3 linked regions of the Macaca mulatta genome follow. The protein of the gene in region 2 binds, or shares a complex with, the protein of the main gene of each other region. Links are inferred from orthologs where the notes say so. Each region holds a gene or a part of one and is shown on either strand. Other genes may lie near its edges.

Region 1 (4,255 bases), about 80 Mb from region 2:
TATCTGTTACTGAAATCTACATGATTTTCCTCTCCACAATAAAGTCCACAACTGTTGTCTTAAATAACTGCAGGTTTTGCCCTCTAAGTCAAACTTGGAGCTCCAACTACTGGCAGCTCACCGTAAGAATATATTAACTATTTCCAATTTTCTTTTAACAAGTCGAATACTATCTAGAGAAAATATCTGCAGCTTGGTTGCAAAGCCGCTTAAACATTTCATTGGCTAGTTCTGGTAATATTGTACGAAATCAACTCATTTTGTGGTTGAGGTAATCTATTTGTTTTTACCAATCAAGTCGTTTTAAAACCTTCAGGAGTAGAGATGATACTTGAAGAATTAACAAAAAACTTAATGAAGGAAACTGTTAACTCCTCCTTCCCCCTACTTTTTGCCAGTTATTAAAAGTTCTGGTAAATCCTAACTCAAAACAAGAATGACTCATGAGGAAATCCTGACTCCTTGAACTCATGATTCTAGTGCATTACAGCTCTGAAATATCTGTGTCTCCAGCTTTCTCTCCCACCATAAGGAAACTTGTGATTTCCATTTTGGCAGATGTGACCAAGGGCTCCTGAGGAATGACCCTATAGACAGACCCAGCCACTTGCCTAGTAGTGATCAAAAATGCAAATCCAATTAAAGCACTGTCTTCTGATAAAGTCACCTTCTCTTGTTCAATCCCTAATGTTCATTCCCAACGTGTTTCAAGACGCCCCAGCAAGCTGCAGAGCAGGTCCCACCCTGCCCCCGGGCAGTCAACGTTTCAGGTTACACCTTCCTTAAATTAAGTGGCAGAGAGAAACGGGGGAGGGTCTCCCCGTAGCCTCAGTTCATTGACCAGGGTGTGTCGAATGAGTCCCTACAGTAGGACAGCAAACAAGAAATGAGGCGCGGGGTCAGGGAACGCGCTCAAAAAAAGAAGAAAAATCCCACTCTTCATTCAAAATCAGGCCACTGAACTCCGGCCTCGCGGCGGGCGACCTCCTCCTGCCAGGGAATCGCCGCTCTGGCCTGGGGCTGGGGAGCCCGTCAGGGTGGGTGGGTGAGGGAGCGACGTAGCCTCCGCCAGGCCGCAGCCAACTTCGGCTCTCTCCCTCCGCCGCAAGCCCCCGCCTGGCCACCACGCTTCAGCAAAAGGTCGTGGGCAACAGCCCACACTGAAAAGTCCCTGTCTGCTCGCACGCCGGCCCCAGCTGGCCGCTGCTATGTAGTCCGAGTGCGCAAGAAGCCCGGGCCGCAGACGTCAGCAGCGCCCTGGCTTCCAGACCCTTCGGCGTTAACCGAGACTGCCGCTGGCGGGCGCTGACCCCCATCCCAGTGCCCGTTTGCAACCAACCAATCCGCGTCCTCTTGAGGCGGGGCCGGAGCCGCGAAGCCCCGCCCCCAAGTCGCGGCTTCTTATAAAAGCTGCGACGCACGCCCAGCAGCCAACAGCCGCGGCCCCAGCGGGAGGACGATAATGCAAAGTGCTATGTTCTTGGCTGTTCAACACGACTGCAGACCTATGGACACTAGCGCTGGCAGCGGCCACAAGAGCGAGGAGAAGCGGGAAAAGATGAAACGGACCCTGTGAGTATGGCTTTCTTCCCTCTCCCGCCACCCCTGCCACACACTGCGAGCTGCAAACGCGGTACTTTGGGCTCGGCTTTGATGTTAGGAAACTAGCCCGAGCCTCTGCAGGGGAAAAAAAAAATCGAAAAGGTCAGTTTGTTAAGGTTAAATCTGGGTGATGCTCGGGTAGAGTTTAGGAACCGAGGGAGATAGTTGATATGAGGGCCGTGGTGGATGCGCTAAGAAATTGCGGGTTGGCTTTTTGTCCTCCTGCATTCAAAATGACATCAGAATCCTGCGGCTGAAGCGCGTCCCCAGCATGCATACGTTGCATGATGAGTTCTCATCAGCTTACACAGCTCCTGGAAGGAGATGCTCTTGCTGGTTGTGAATATACTCGTTTAAAATCCATTTTTGTTTTTTAATTATAGAGCAGATCTCACCCAGTCATGAATGTGGAACAAATAATTGTTCTGCAGCGTCTGCTTAAAAGAAGTGTTGTAGGTGGGGAAGGAAGAGCGCAGGGGAATCAGTCACCCACCTCCTTGTACACTGTCTCTGGCATGCTCCAGAACCTCTTGCTCTAAAGAGAGAAGCGTGGGCCGGCTCCAGACAGTTCCACGTCTGTCCTTTTCATTAAATTGTAAAACCCCTCGGAATTGTAATTAACCTTGCAAACAAACTGATGCCCTTTGTGAGCCAGAAATAGTATCTGCCTTTTGAACTAAATTCATTAACAATTCTTTAAAATACCCTAGTGATTGTAGGTAGCCCTGCCCTTAGTTGTAAAACTAGTAGATACGATCAGTTTAATGGATGAAACTGCTCAGTACATGAGGTTTAAATGTTAAGTGGATAAGACTGTTATTTGAAGAGTTCTTGCTTTGCCTTATGCGGTTTGTCTCTAGTTACTGGGTGACTTTATTTGGTAAAAATGCGTTCAGCTGCAGTAGCATATTCAAGTGTTGCTACTTAGTGATTATCTTTTTTAAATTTTTTTGTTTGTTTTAGTTTAAAAGATTGGAAGACCCGTTTGAGCTACTTCTTGCAAAATTCCTCTACTCCTGGGAAACCCAAAACCGGCAAAAAAAGCAAACAACAAGCTTTCATCAAGTAAGTTGAGAATCCTGTACTTGCAAATGTTAATAGTTAGTTGCTGAACTGAAAAGGGGAACTCTGATGTGCATAAGCTAACATGCAGAACCTCTCTTGCAGACCTTCTCCTGAGGAAGCACAGCTGTGGTCAGAAGCATTTGACGAGCTGCTAGCTAGCAAATGTAAGTTAACTCTTGAACTTTAGCCATTGCTAATATTGCAAAAGCCTGCAAAGGCTGGGTCCACACAACAAAAGAGCAGCTTGCCTGAGGGGGATTAGACTGCAGTCACTATTGGATAAAGCCTGTTTTTCTCTCCTTTATTTCCCAGGGTTTAACCATGGAAATAAATGCATGTATTTCCTCCAGGTGGGGAAGAAAATCAGCCTAAAAAAATTAAAGTGGCAGTTGCTTATAGTTAAGGTTGAGTCAGTTTTTCCATTGCATACAATGTTTTCAAGAGGCTTAGTTCCCAGAGAATTTATGTCTCCCCTATAAATATTTACTTTGCATTGACAGCAAAGTACTTATATTTTTGCAGCAGAGGGCCAACATAAGCATTTTGCCTACTGGTATCTTCGTCTTTAAAAAGCTAAATTTTGAGAATTACAGGTTTAAGCGAAATCTAGAAAATTGCTGTCATTTAGAAATAATTAAAATGTGAGGGAGAAGTACTAGGAGAAACATAAAGAATCATTTGGTCACTCGGTTCTTCACATTCTGCATGCTTTCTTTTCTCCCCCCTTCAGATGGTCTTGCTGCATTCAGGGCTTTTTTAAAGTCGGAATTCTGTGAAGAAAATATTGAATTCTGGCTGGCCTGTGAAGACTTCAAAAAAACCAAATCACCCCAAAAATTGTCCTCAAAAGCAAGGAAAATATATACTGATTTTATAGAAAAGGAAGCTCCAAAAGAGGTAAGGAAACAAGTTCCTAAACTGAGCACAATCTGGACATTTTTAGCACAAAAGTGAAACAAAATAAGGGCAAAGTGGGGCTAGAAGGAGGGGTAAAAAGTCCCCCCATGTTGTAGCTTTCAGTTATGTTAAAGTTCTTCTGTGACTTAGGTAGTAAAGCTAATCACACATAATTTTTATTTTTTGTTTTCAAATACTAAATTTTAATCTTTAACTCTGAACACCAAATAAACAACTTTTTTGTTTTATTTCAGATAAACATAGATTTTCAAACCAAAACTCTGATTGCCCAGAATATACAAGAAGCTACAAGTGGCTGCTTCACAACTGCCCAGAAAAGGGTATACAGCTTGATGGAGAACAACTCTTATCCCCGTTTCTTGGAGTCAGAATTCTACCAGGACTTGTGTAAAAAGCCTCAAATCACCACAGAGCCTCATGCTACATGAAATGTAAAAGGGAGCCCAGAAATGGAGGACATTTCATTCTTTTTCCTAAGGGGAAAGACTGACCTGCCATAAAGACTGACCTTGAATTCAGCCTGGGTGTTCAGGAAACATCGCTCAGAACTATTGATTCAAAGCTGGGTAGTGAATCAGGAAGCCAGTAACTGACTAGGAGAAGCTGGTATCAGAACAGCTTCCCTCACTGTGTACAGAACGCAAGAAGGGAATAGGTGGTCTGAACGTGG
Region 2 (3,551 bases):
AGCACTACCCTGTTGAATTTTTATTCCAAGATCACTCCAAGGAACACAGCCTCTCTCAGACCTTTGAAGCAGTTGTGTTCCCTAGAAATGCACCTTCCTACTTTCCTAGTTTCCCTTTATACTTTCTAGATTTTTTTTAGCTGAAAAGTCTAAATGAAAGGGTAAAGAGAAACAACGTTATGTTTTCTTCAATCTTTGTGTGTGATGATTTTATTTTAGTTACCATGAGAGTCTACTCTCATGAAGAACCTAATTATAGAAACATCTAATGATTATAGAAATAGAGAATTCTATTCATATTTAATTGGGTTATGTTTCCTCTCCATAAGTAAATGGTAATGGTCTGACTTAGTTGAGTTCAGGCAGCTGTTACAATTTGAACTGAGAGTACGGGGTGTCTGTTTTAGGTTCCAATACATATGAAGAGGCAGCTGCCTATATTCAATGCCAGTTTGAAGATCTGAACAGAAGAAAAGATACCAAGGAGATCTACACTCACTTCACCTGTGCCACAGACACGAAGAATGTGCAGTTTGTTTTTGATGCTGTTACAGATGTCATCATTAAAAACAACTTAAAGGAATGTGGACTTTATTGAAAAGCATGGATGTTAGTGAAAGGTAAAGTTTCATACAAGGTAGTTATAGTGCTATAGTGATGTCTGTTAGCTTTGTAAAGTTTTTCTAATTAAGAATCTTCTTCTCTTCTAGTTACTACAGTGTGGAGTGTTGAGACCAGACACCTTTTGCTGTCTTACGGGGCAGCTACAAGCATGAACGGGACCAGGGAATGGCAGCAGCATGCAGAATCTTAGCACTCTTTAGCACAATCTTCTATATTAGGGAACTTTTAATTGACATGAGATGCTAAAGTCAGACATTGGAATTGGAAGAACTGTAAAGTGTGATTTGATCATCAAGACATCACTTGGATTTCTTAATCTTAAATGCTTATGGAAGATGTGAAGTTGAGGTGCTGCATTCTAGAACTTCAATATGTAGCTTACTCTTTTTTTCCCCCTTCTTAACAAACCACCAGTGGTTCATTTTTAGGGTTTTTTCATCAAGAGAAGAATAACTTTACTAAATTTTATTTCTTTATTTGCAAAAGAATCTTTATTAAAACACAATGTTAACTATGCACATGATGTGACCAGATCATCTTGAAAATATTCCTCTTTAGTAGGAACTCTTTGTTTGTAACTCTTGGTGTGGTCAGAATATAATACTTCCATAATTACTTATAATTCTTTCCAGTTACTGGGGCTATGCATACAACTTTTTTGATGAAATTTATGTTATTATCCTGCTCAAAGTACCATTATGGTTTCCATATGGTAATTACATTGGAAAGTTCTGCAATAAGATTCTAGTTCTCTCTTTTCTTTAAGCTTATGGTTGAAGGTTAACTTTGTTTATGCAGATTACCAAATTACTGCTGTGATGTAGTATGATAAAGTCAGCTTCTTGGATACAGACATGCCCGGGACAGCTGCCAATCAGAAATGCAAATTGCTAAATTCCAAACAGAACCAGTGACTTTGCTGCTACATATTTACTAAATTGACCACTTTGATTCTTGCTTGTTTGTCTCAGTTATAGGGAGTTTTGTACAAGGTGCCTCTTGTTTTCCATCTTCATGGCCTTTTCTGTTGAGAGACATCTAAAGTGTATTAACAGTGCATGCTTTTACTTTGTAAATGTGGTGCCAAATCCCTGTTTGCCATCGTTTTTACTGTAGCAATGTTAACTGTAGTAATCCTTAGTCAGTATGTTCTTTTGCTGAAACTGTTGCATTTTGGGACTTTTTTCCACTTTGTCATGTGTACATTTTTAATCTGTTATAGTTGGCAGCAGTATTAAAATGGTGAGTAAAGAGCCCAGGTTTGCTCCTGTTTGTAACTAGTCTTTAATGGAAATACTGTCTTCTGTTTCCTTTTGCCTTTGCAGAATGTGTTTTAGCCTTTGTCTGAGAATGGGTTTAGGTAGAAGGGTTTCCTGAAGGTCTAGTCCTTTGGTGTAATAGTATTGTTGAACCTTAGGTTTTATGTTATATCTGCATACAAGTGAATGTGATCATCATTCATTTTGCAGATTTACATTTTGCTTGTGTGGAGAGTTATATTCACTTCAACCTACAGACCCTTTTGTATAATGTACAGCAAATGTCATTAAATATTGAATGCTCTATTGGGGGAAGACAAATGAAGAGAATGCATTTTGAGCATTTCAAATCAAAAGTTTGAGCAGTGCCTTTTGGGGTCCAATGTTTTCGGATTGGATTCTATATCATCTTTTGATGTGACCTTTCACTAGTTTACAGAAAAAGGTTGGTGTCAACAAAAAAGCAAGTCATAGCAGTTCAGTGCCTTTGTTGGTTGTTTTTAACTTTTTTTCTGATTCTTTTTGGAAAATCATAGCTTACAGATGGTATAACTGTATTATATAATGAAATTTCCTTTAGATTTGGGAAAACTTGATCTGAAAGAAAATTATCAGCTTCAGTTGGTGATTGATTCAATGCCCACAATGTAAACAGGGTTGGTAGTTCTTACTCATTTTGAATATATCTTTTCCTTATTGTATTCTGTAATATAGGATCATCTGGAAACGAGAACTGGTGGAATATTATTTTCAACTTTAGTCTTTCTATATTGTGGACTAATGGAATGGTGTTATTGATAATCTAAAATAACCAATAATCCAAAAAAGTTCATTTTATTTTGAATTTGTATTTTCATTTGAATATCTATCTGATATGTTAAATTTTTAGCCCTTCTGTTAAAGAAAAATAGCAGGTCCCCATTTTCTGCCTTTGTACCATTTACATTTGCTCTCTGTTTGTTTACATGAAGATCACTTTTATTTCACCATCCCAAATAACTTATCTAAATGCACATTCCTTGAGGACACAGGGAGACAATTTAAGTCAGTGGTCTTTAATATGACTTAAGTAAAAATCACTTGGACCCATCTAAGAGATTGACTTTTGGCTGGTGGGCTGGCAATCGATTTTTTTTTTTTTTTTTTTTTTTTGAGACGGAGTCTCGCTCTGTTGCCCAGGCTGGAGTGCAGTGGCGCTATCTTGGCTCACTGCAAGCGCCGCCTCCCAGGTTCACACCATTCTCCTGCTGGGACTACAGGTGCCTGCCACCACGCCCAGCTAATTTTTTTGTATGTTTTAGTAGAAACGGTGTTTCACCGTGTTAGCCAGGATGCTCTTGATCTCCTGACCTCATGATCCACCCGCCTCGACCTCCCAAAGTGCTGGATTACAGGTGTGAGCCAGCGCACCCGGCCGGCAATTTATAATTTTTAAAAGGTGATTTTGATTACCAGTCAGGCTTGAAAATCACTGGTTTGTATTGAAACAAAAGATATTTTCTTGTAGCAGGGCTAAAATGTGAGATGAAACATTAAATCTACTAGCCTGAAAAAAAATTTCGGCATTTGTAGTCAAAGAAGCTAAAAGTTGCCTTGTGTGTTTCCTCTGGAGAATGCTGGAGATTTGTGATGGACAATGTTTCAGAATTCAGGTGCCTATGCTTTGGA
Region 3 (4,301 bases), on a different chromosome or scaffold from region 2:
CAAAAAGTCTTAGAAGCGGCAGCTTCTAATCAGCCTGAACTTTCTGACATGGTTGGGATCCAGTTCAAGGTTATGCAATATGAAAAGATAAACAAAATAAAGGAAAAATGTGGAGACTGGAGTACCTATTAGGTGATTTTAAACAATGGACACAGCTCCTAAAGAACCCGCTAATTCAGTAAAAAAATTTTTTAAATTAATTTAGTTTCAACCACTCTGTTTTATCATAGAGACAAAAACTGGTTGATTTGCTGATTGTTTTCACTTACTATGTTTTGGCCTAACATAGAAGTCTTGAAACAGAGCTGACTGTACTGATTGTTGGCAGGAAGTAACCTGCATGTGTGGTCTCTTAGCAAATTATATGGGGACTGTTCCTAAATGACAGGGCTCTGTGCTTGAGGAGTCTTCTGCACTCAAGGGTCTTGGCCTGCTTCTTCCTTCCTACTTCCCCTCCAACTTCCCCTACATCTTCCCCTCCCACCTTGTCCACCACAAAGCTTTGTCCCTCAGGCCCTTCATGGAACACCTCCCAGGCAGGTATAAAGCACCCAGTGTCCCAGGTTCCTACAGAGGAAAAAATCCTAGGCAGACCAGTTAGGGGATCCTGGAGTGGAGACGGGAAAAGCAACAGCAAGGTGTGACTGATGAAGTTCTGTTTTAAGGAATAGGAACTACTGTGGTGTTAAGTTCTGGAAATCCAGAGCATTTCAGAAAACAGCCTGCATTATTTCCTCTCAATAACAGACTACCTAAATGCACTTGGAAGATCCAGTTTAAGGGGAAAGATAGGTGTGTTTAGAACTTGTCATGGACTGTTCCCCAATGTGCCTTTTCTTCAGATCTCTGGGATAGTTGAAGCAAGTAAATGAAATGTCTTCTCGTTAGTGGGCTCCCTACCCTGAGGAACACCTTGTGAAAAACATTTGAGGACAAGATAGGCGTTGCGAGAAGGAACACTGGAGATTAAAGGATGTGGGCAGTGGTGGTGACATCATTTTCTGGCTAAAGAATCAAAAGACGGCGACAGAACATGTAGAGTGTGAAAGGCTATGAGTATAGAAAGGAGATAGCAATAGACACATGCTAGTGCAGGCAGTGCCTCTAGAAGATAAATGTTTGTATTATTTGACTTAAAAAATAAATATATGCATGTTATCTATTGAAAGCTAGAATGTTAAAATAATGATAAGACTCCATCAGTCTGGTATGCTTTTTCTCCCCAGGAAATACATACGGAGGCTGGTGATCAGGCCCCGGGAACTGACAGTCTAATTTGATGCCACTGAAGCAAAGTCCCCAAGGAATTCTGGCGGCTTGGACCAGGAATTCTGCAGGGACACTGACGGCCCCTGGGGCCAGAGCTGACGCCGTGGCCCTCCCCTCCATATTCATACACTCTGTGAAGCTACCTGTCCCCTTGTTAACACATGGAGAGCGAGTCCTTTCTGACTACATCACAGGCAGAAGCAAGGCAGAGGCACAAGAAACTACCGACAGCAGGCGTTTTGGTGTGCACTCCCGTTCATTGGCGTAGGTGACCCGCTGCCCCTTCTAGGGGACACTGAACAGTCCAGTTCTGAGCCGGGGAAAGCCTTGATCCTATAATGTGGTCCCTACTTTCCCCCACGTTCACGCCCAATGCTCCCAGGCTGGAGCTGCTCCGGCGTGTGCCCCTCGTTCGGCCCCGAGCCCTTGGCCCCCAGACCCCGCCACGGCCCCTCCCCCACTGGGGGCGCTTTCTGCCCGCCCTCCTCGGGTTCCCTGGTCCTACCAGCGCCTTGGCCAGGGCTCCCTCGCACAGAGGCAGCTCCAGCCCCTCGGCCGTGGGTCTTCACGAGGCTGGGCTTGTGTCTGATCTCCGGACGGCGCGCGGACCCTGCTCCCTATGCGAAGGTCACGGTCTCGGAGAGGTGTGCATGGCTCACTGCACTCCCTGCGCCCGCCTTCGGGACCGGCCGCAGCAGCCCCCGCAGACCCTCTGGGCAGCCGCGGCTGCCCCGGCCCCGGAGCTCCGCCCCTCTCGTGCTCCCCGCCCGCTTGCCCCCTCGGGGTCCCGGACTGCTGAGCCCAGCTCCCCTTGGAGCCCACTCGCGAGCTGCCCTCTAACCCCCACCCCAGTTAGTCCCCGTTCCCTCACCGTCTCCTTAGCCCGCAGATAGCTTAGCTGACTCTTCAGGGTCGCTGAGGGCGCGTCTTCCGTTCCCCGAGGGCCACACGCCGGCTCGGGTCCCCAGCAGACGGTGAGCCCCGCGCTCAGGTCCTCTCCTGCCCTCTTCCGTGCCGAGCCAGGGGTTCCCGGCTCCCAAATCCTGTTCCTGCTGCCTGCTGTCGGGGAGGTCCTCTTCCCGGACCCCTACTCCTTGGCGATGAAAAGAGACTTAGAGGGCTTACGACGCCACCAACGTTCTCTGTGCCGAGGGTGGCACAATTTTTTTTTTTCTGATATAAGGCCAGAGATTCACAATAAAATAAATACAAATCGCGTGCCCAAACTCTTACTTATTGTGCAAGACTCAGGTCAAGCGTTACCTCGGTGCTGACAAACAGCTCCCTGCTTCCACTCTCCTGCGCGAAAGGGCGCGCGATCCTCCCTGGCTGCAGCCAGGCGCCTGTTCTACCCGACTCCACAGCTCGCTGCTTGGAGGCCCCGACCTGGCCTTGCTTATCCTTGTCCCTAGCCCCTGGCAAGGTGCCTGCCACCCATCACAGCACTAGAATATTTTATGAATAAGTGGAAAATTAATTTCTTTTGTAGAAAACCATTTGCGTGTGTGTGTGTGTGTTTGGCTTTTTACCCTCAAATAAAGCATACTCCTTTGGGTGGGCAATTTGCTAGTCTCTATAAAGAAACACCAAAAATATCCCCTTTAATGCAGTATTCCATGCTTGGGGAAATTTCCAGAACAAAATAACATTCATGCGGAGATGTTTTTTAGGAGGATCATTTACTACAGAAAAAAAATTTAAAAACCACAAAAAGTAAACAGAGCCAAACTGTCAACAGTAGGAAACTGGTTGAGTAAATTAGGGTGACTTAATGGGATATTATACAACCGTTAAAATGATAAACATCAAGACAGAAGTGCTTCAAATTCTTTTTAGAATAAGGAGGGAGTATGTATTTATTTATAAAGCAAAAAAGGGAAACATGAAGTAACATGATAAAATGTTTGCAAATTATTGTTAAGCAAAAAGCAGAAAATTGGGTCATTTACCCATGTTTAATAACTTCAAATAAAAATGCAGATTTCTTCTCTGCAAATCGGCCATAACATCTACCTCAAGGGGTCCTTGGAGTGTTCAATGAAATAGTCAAGGAAAGTGCCTAGTATAGAATGGATACTCAACAAAGTTTCCATTTCTTTTCTTCAATGGAACACAGACTCAAATCCAGCATGTCAAACACATCCTCATTATGGCCCAATTCTACCCATTTGGCTTCCTTTCCCTCAAATACAGCGTAGGAGAAGGAGCTGAGCAAATGCCAAAGAACCAGGGAAGGAGGAAAATCTAGTTAATAGGAATAAACGTGAAGTCCTCCCTCAGGCCGAAACACCTAGCAATACAAGTTGGTAATGGGGGATGTGGCTCAGTAGTGCTCTACATCAAAATACCTTAGATTTTATTTTAGTTGGCTACAAGCACAACCTTGTGAACACCCAAAGGCTGAATGAGTTCAGTTCAAAACCTGAATGAGGCTGCAATCTTAGGCTGAACTCATCCTCTTCAATGGTCAGGTTACACCTGGGCATAATGTCCAAATCTGAGCACTATCTTTAAGAAAGCATTACTCTGAAGATCTATTATTGCTTCCATTGTAAAGATGAAGAAACTATGCATACAGTTTCCAGTATTTAGGGTTGGGCTGCTAGGAGTTGGCAGAGCCAAGAGCTGAACCAAATCAGTTTGACTTACAGTCCTGGTGCTTGATCACTTTACCAGTGTGTCCCAGTGTGTACATCTTCCAGTAGAGATTGGAAGCATGGTATTGGGTGGTACACAGACAATAAAATTAGATAACAGTGGATCACAAGGTGAAAAAAGATATGCCCTTCACTTCTTTTGTTCCTATGGATTATGTCAAAGGAAGGAGTATCATTTTTGTGGTATTTGTCTTTGCACCCCTGTATAATACTTGGTAATCTCCTGTTTTAACAAAGAGAGAGCTTGCCTCTCGCTCAGAACCTTTGCTAGGCAACAACTCCTAAGTAGAATTTAATATCATCACTTTCTCTTCCATCCCCTTATGCAGTTAGGTTCCAATAGACATAGTTTTCCACTTACAAAGTGATGTGGTT

The links. Proteins that work in one complex are often made in the same cells at the same time.
Region 1: the proteins of GNAI3 (region 2) and RGS2 are in contact, whole or in part, in a crystal structure (PDB 2V4Z), measured with the Homo sapiens proteins. The link is inferred for Macaca mulatta from reciprocal best matches to the Homo sapiens genes GNAI3 and RGS2. Residues at the interface, in NP_006487.1 of Homo sapiens: Val179, Lys180, Thr181, Thr182, Gly183, Ile184, Val185, Gln204, Ser206, Glu207, Lys209, Lys210, His213, Ala235, Glu236, Asp237, Glu238; in NP_002914.1 of Homo sapiens: Glu104, Phe105, Glu108, Asn109, Glu143, Ala144, Pro145, Glu147, Ile148, Asn149, Asp151, Phe152, Leu180, Asn183, Ser185, Arg188.
Region 3: the proteins of GNAI3 (region 2) and CASR are in contact, whole or in part, in a cryo-EM structure (PDB 8SZH), measured with the Homo sapiens proteins. The link is inferred for Macaca mulatta from reciprocal best matches to the Homo sapiens genes GNAI3 and CASR. Residues at the interface, in NP_006487.1 of Homo sapiens: Ala31, Lys32, Gln304, Glu308, Lys314, Asp315, Thr316, Lys317, Glu318, Ile319, Tyr320, Thr321, Phe334, Asp337, Ala338, Thr340, Asp341, Ile343, Ile344, Lys345, Asn347, Leu348, Glu350, Cys351, Gly352, Leu353, Tyr354; in NP_000379.3 of Homo sapiens: Lys644, Ala645, Asn647, Arg701, Val702, Val705, Phe706, Ala708, Lys709, Pro711, Thr712, Arg716, Trp719, Phe801, Ile869, Val872, Arg873, Thr876, Ala877, Ala880, Phe881, Lys882, Val883, Ala884, Ala885, Arg886.

What each region holds. Positions count from the first base shown.
Region 1 is NC_133406.1:50,335,191-50,339,445, forward strand, and holds the start of RGS2 (regulator of G-protein signaling 2), read left to right. Parts: upstream 1-1,444; 5' UTR 1,445-1,462; coding exon 1,463-1,572; intron 1,573-2,565; coding exon 2,566-2,667; intron 2,668-2,769; coding exon 2,770-2,831; intron 2,832-3,397; coding exon 3,398-3,564; intron 3,565-3,818; coding exon 3,819-4,013; 3' UTR 4,014-4,255. UniProt on the Homo sapiens protein: Regulates G protein-coupled receptor signaling cascades. Inhibits signal transduction by increasing the GTPase activity of G protein alpha subunits, thereby driving them into their inactive GDP-bound form.
Region 2 is NC_133406.1:130,609,437-130,612,987, reverse strand, and holds the end of GNAI3 (guanine nucleotide-binding protein G(i) subunit alpha-3), read left to right. Parts: exon of another isoform or gene 1-5; intron 6-407; coding exon 408-598; 3' UTR 599-620; intron 621-710; 3' UTR 711-3,043; downstream 3,044-3,551. UniProt on the Homo sapiens protein: Heterotrimeric guanine nucleotide-binding proteins (G proteins) function as transducers downstream of G protein-coupled receptors (GPCRs) in numerous signaling cascades.
Region 3 is NC_133407.1:161,582,648-161,586,948, forward strand, and holds the start of CASR (extracellular calcium-sensing receptor), read right to left. Parts: upstream 2,812-4,301; 5' UTR 2,141-2,811; intron 2,024-2,140; exon of another isoform or gene 1,775-2,023; intron 1-1,774. UniProt on the Homo sapiens protein: G-protein-coupled receptor that senses changes in the extracellular concentration of calcium ions and plays a key role in maintaining calcium homeostasis.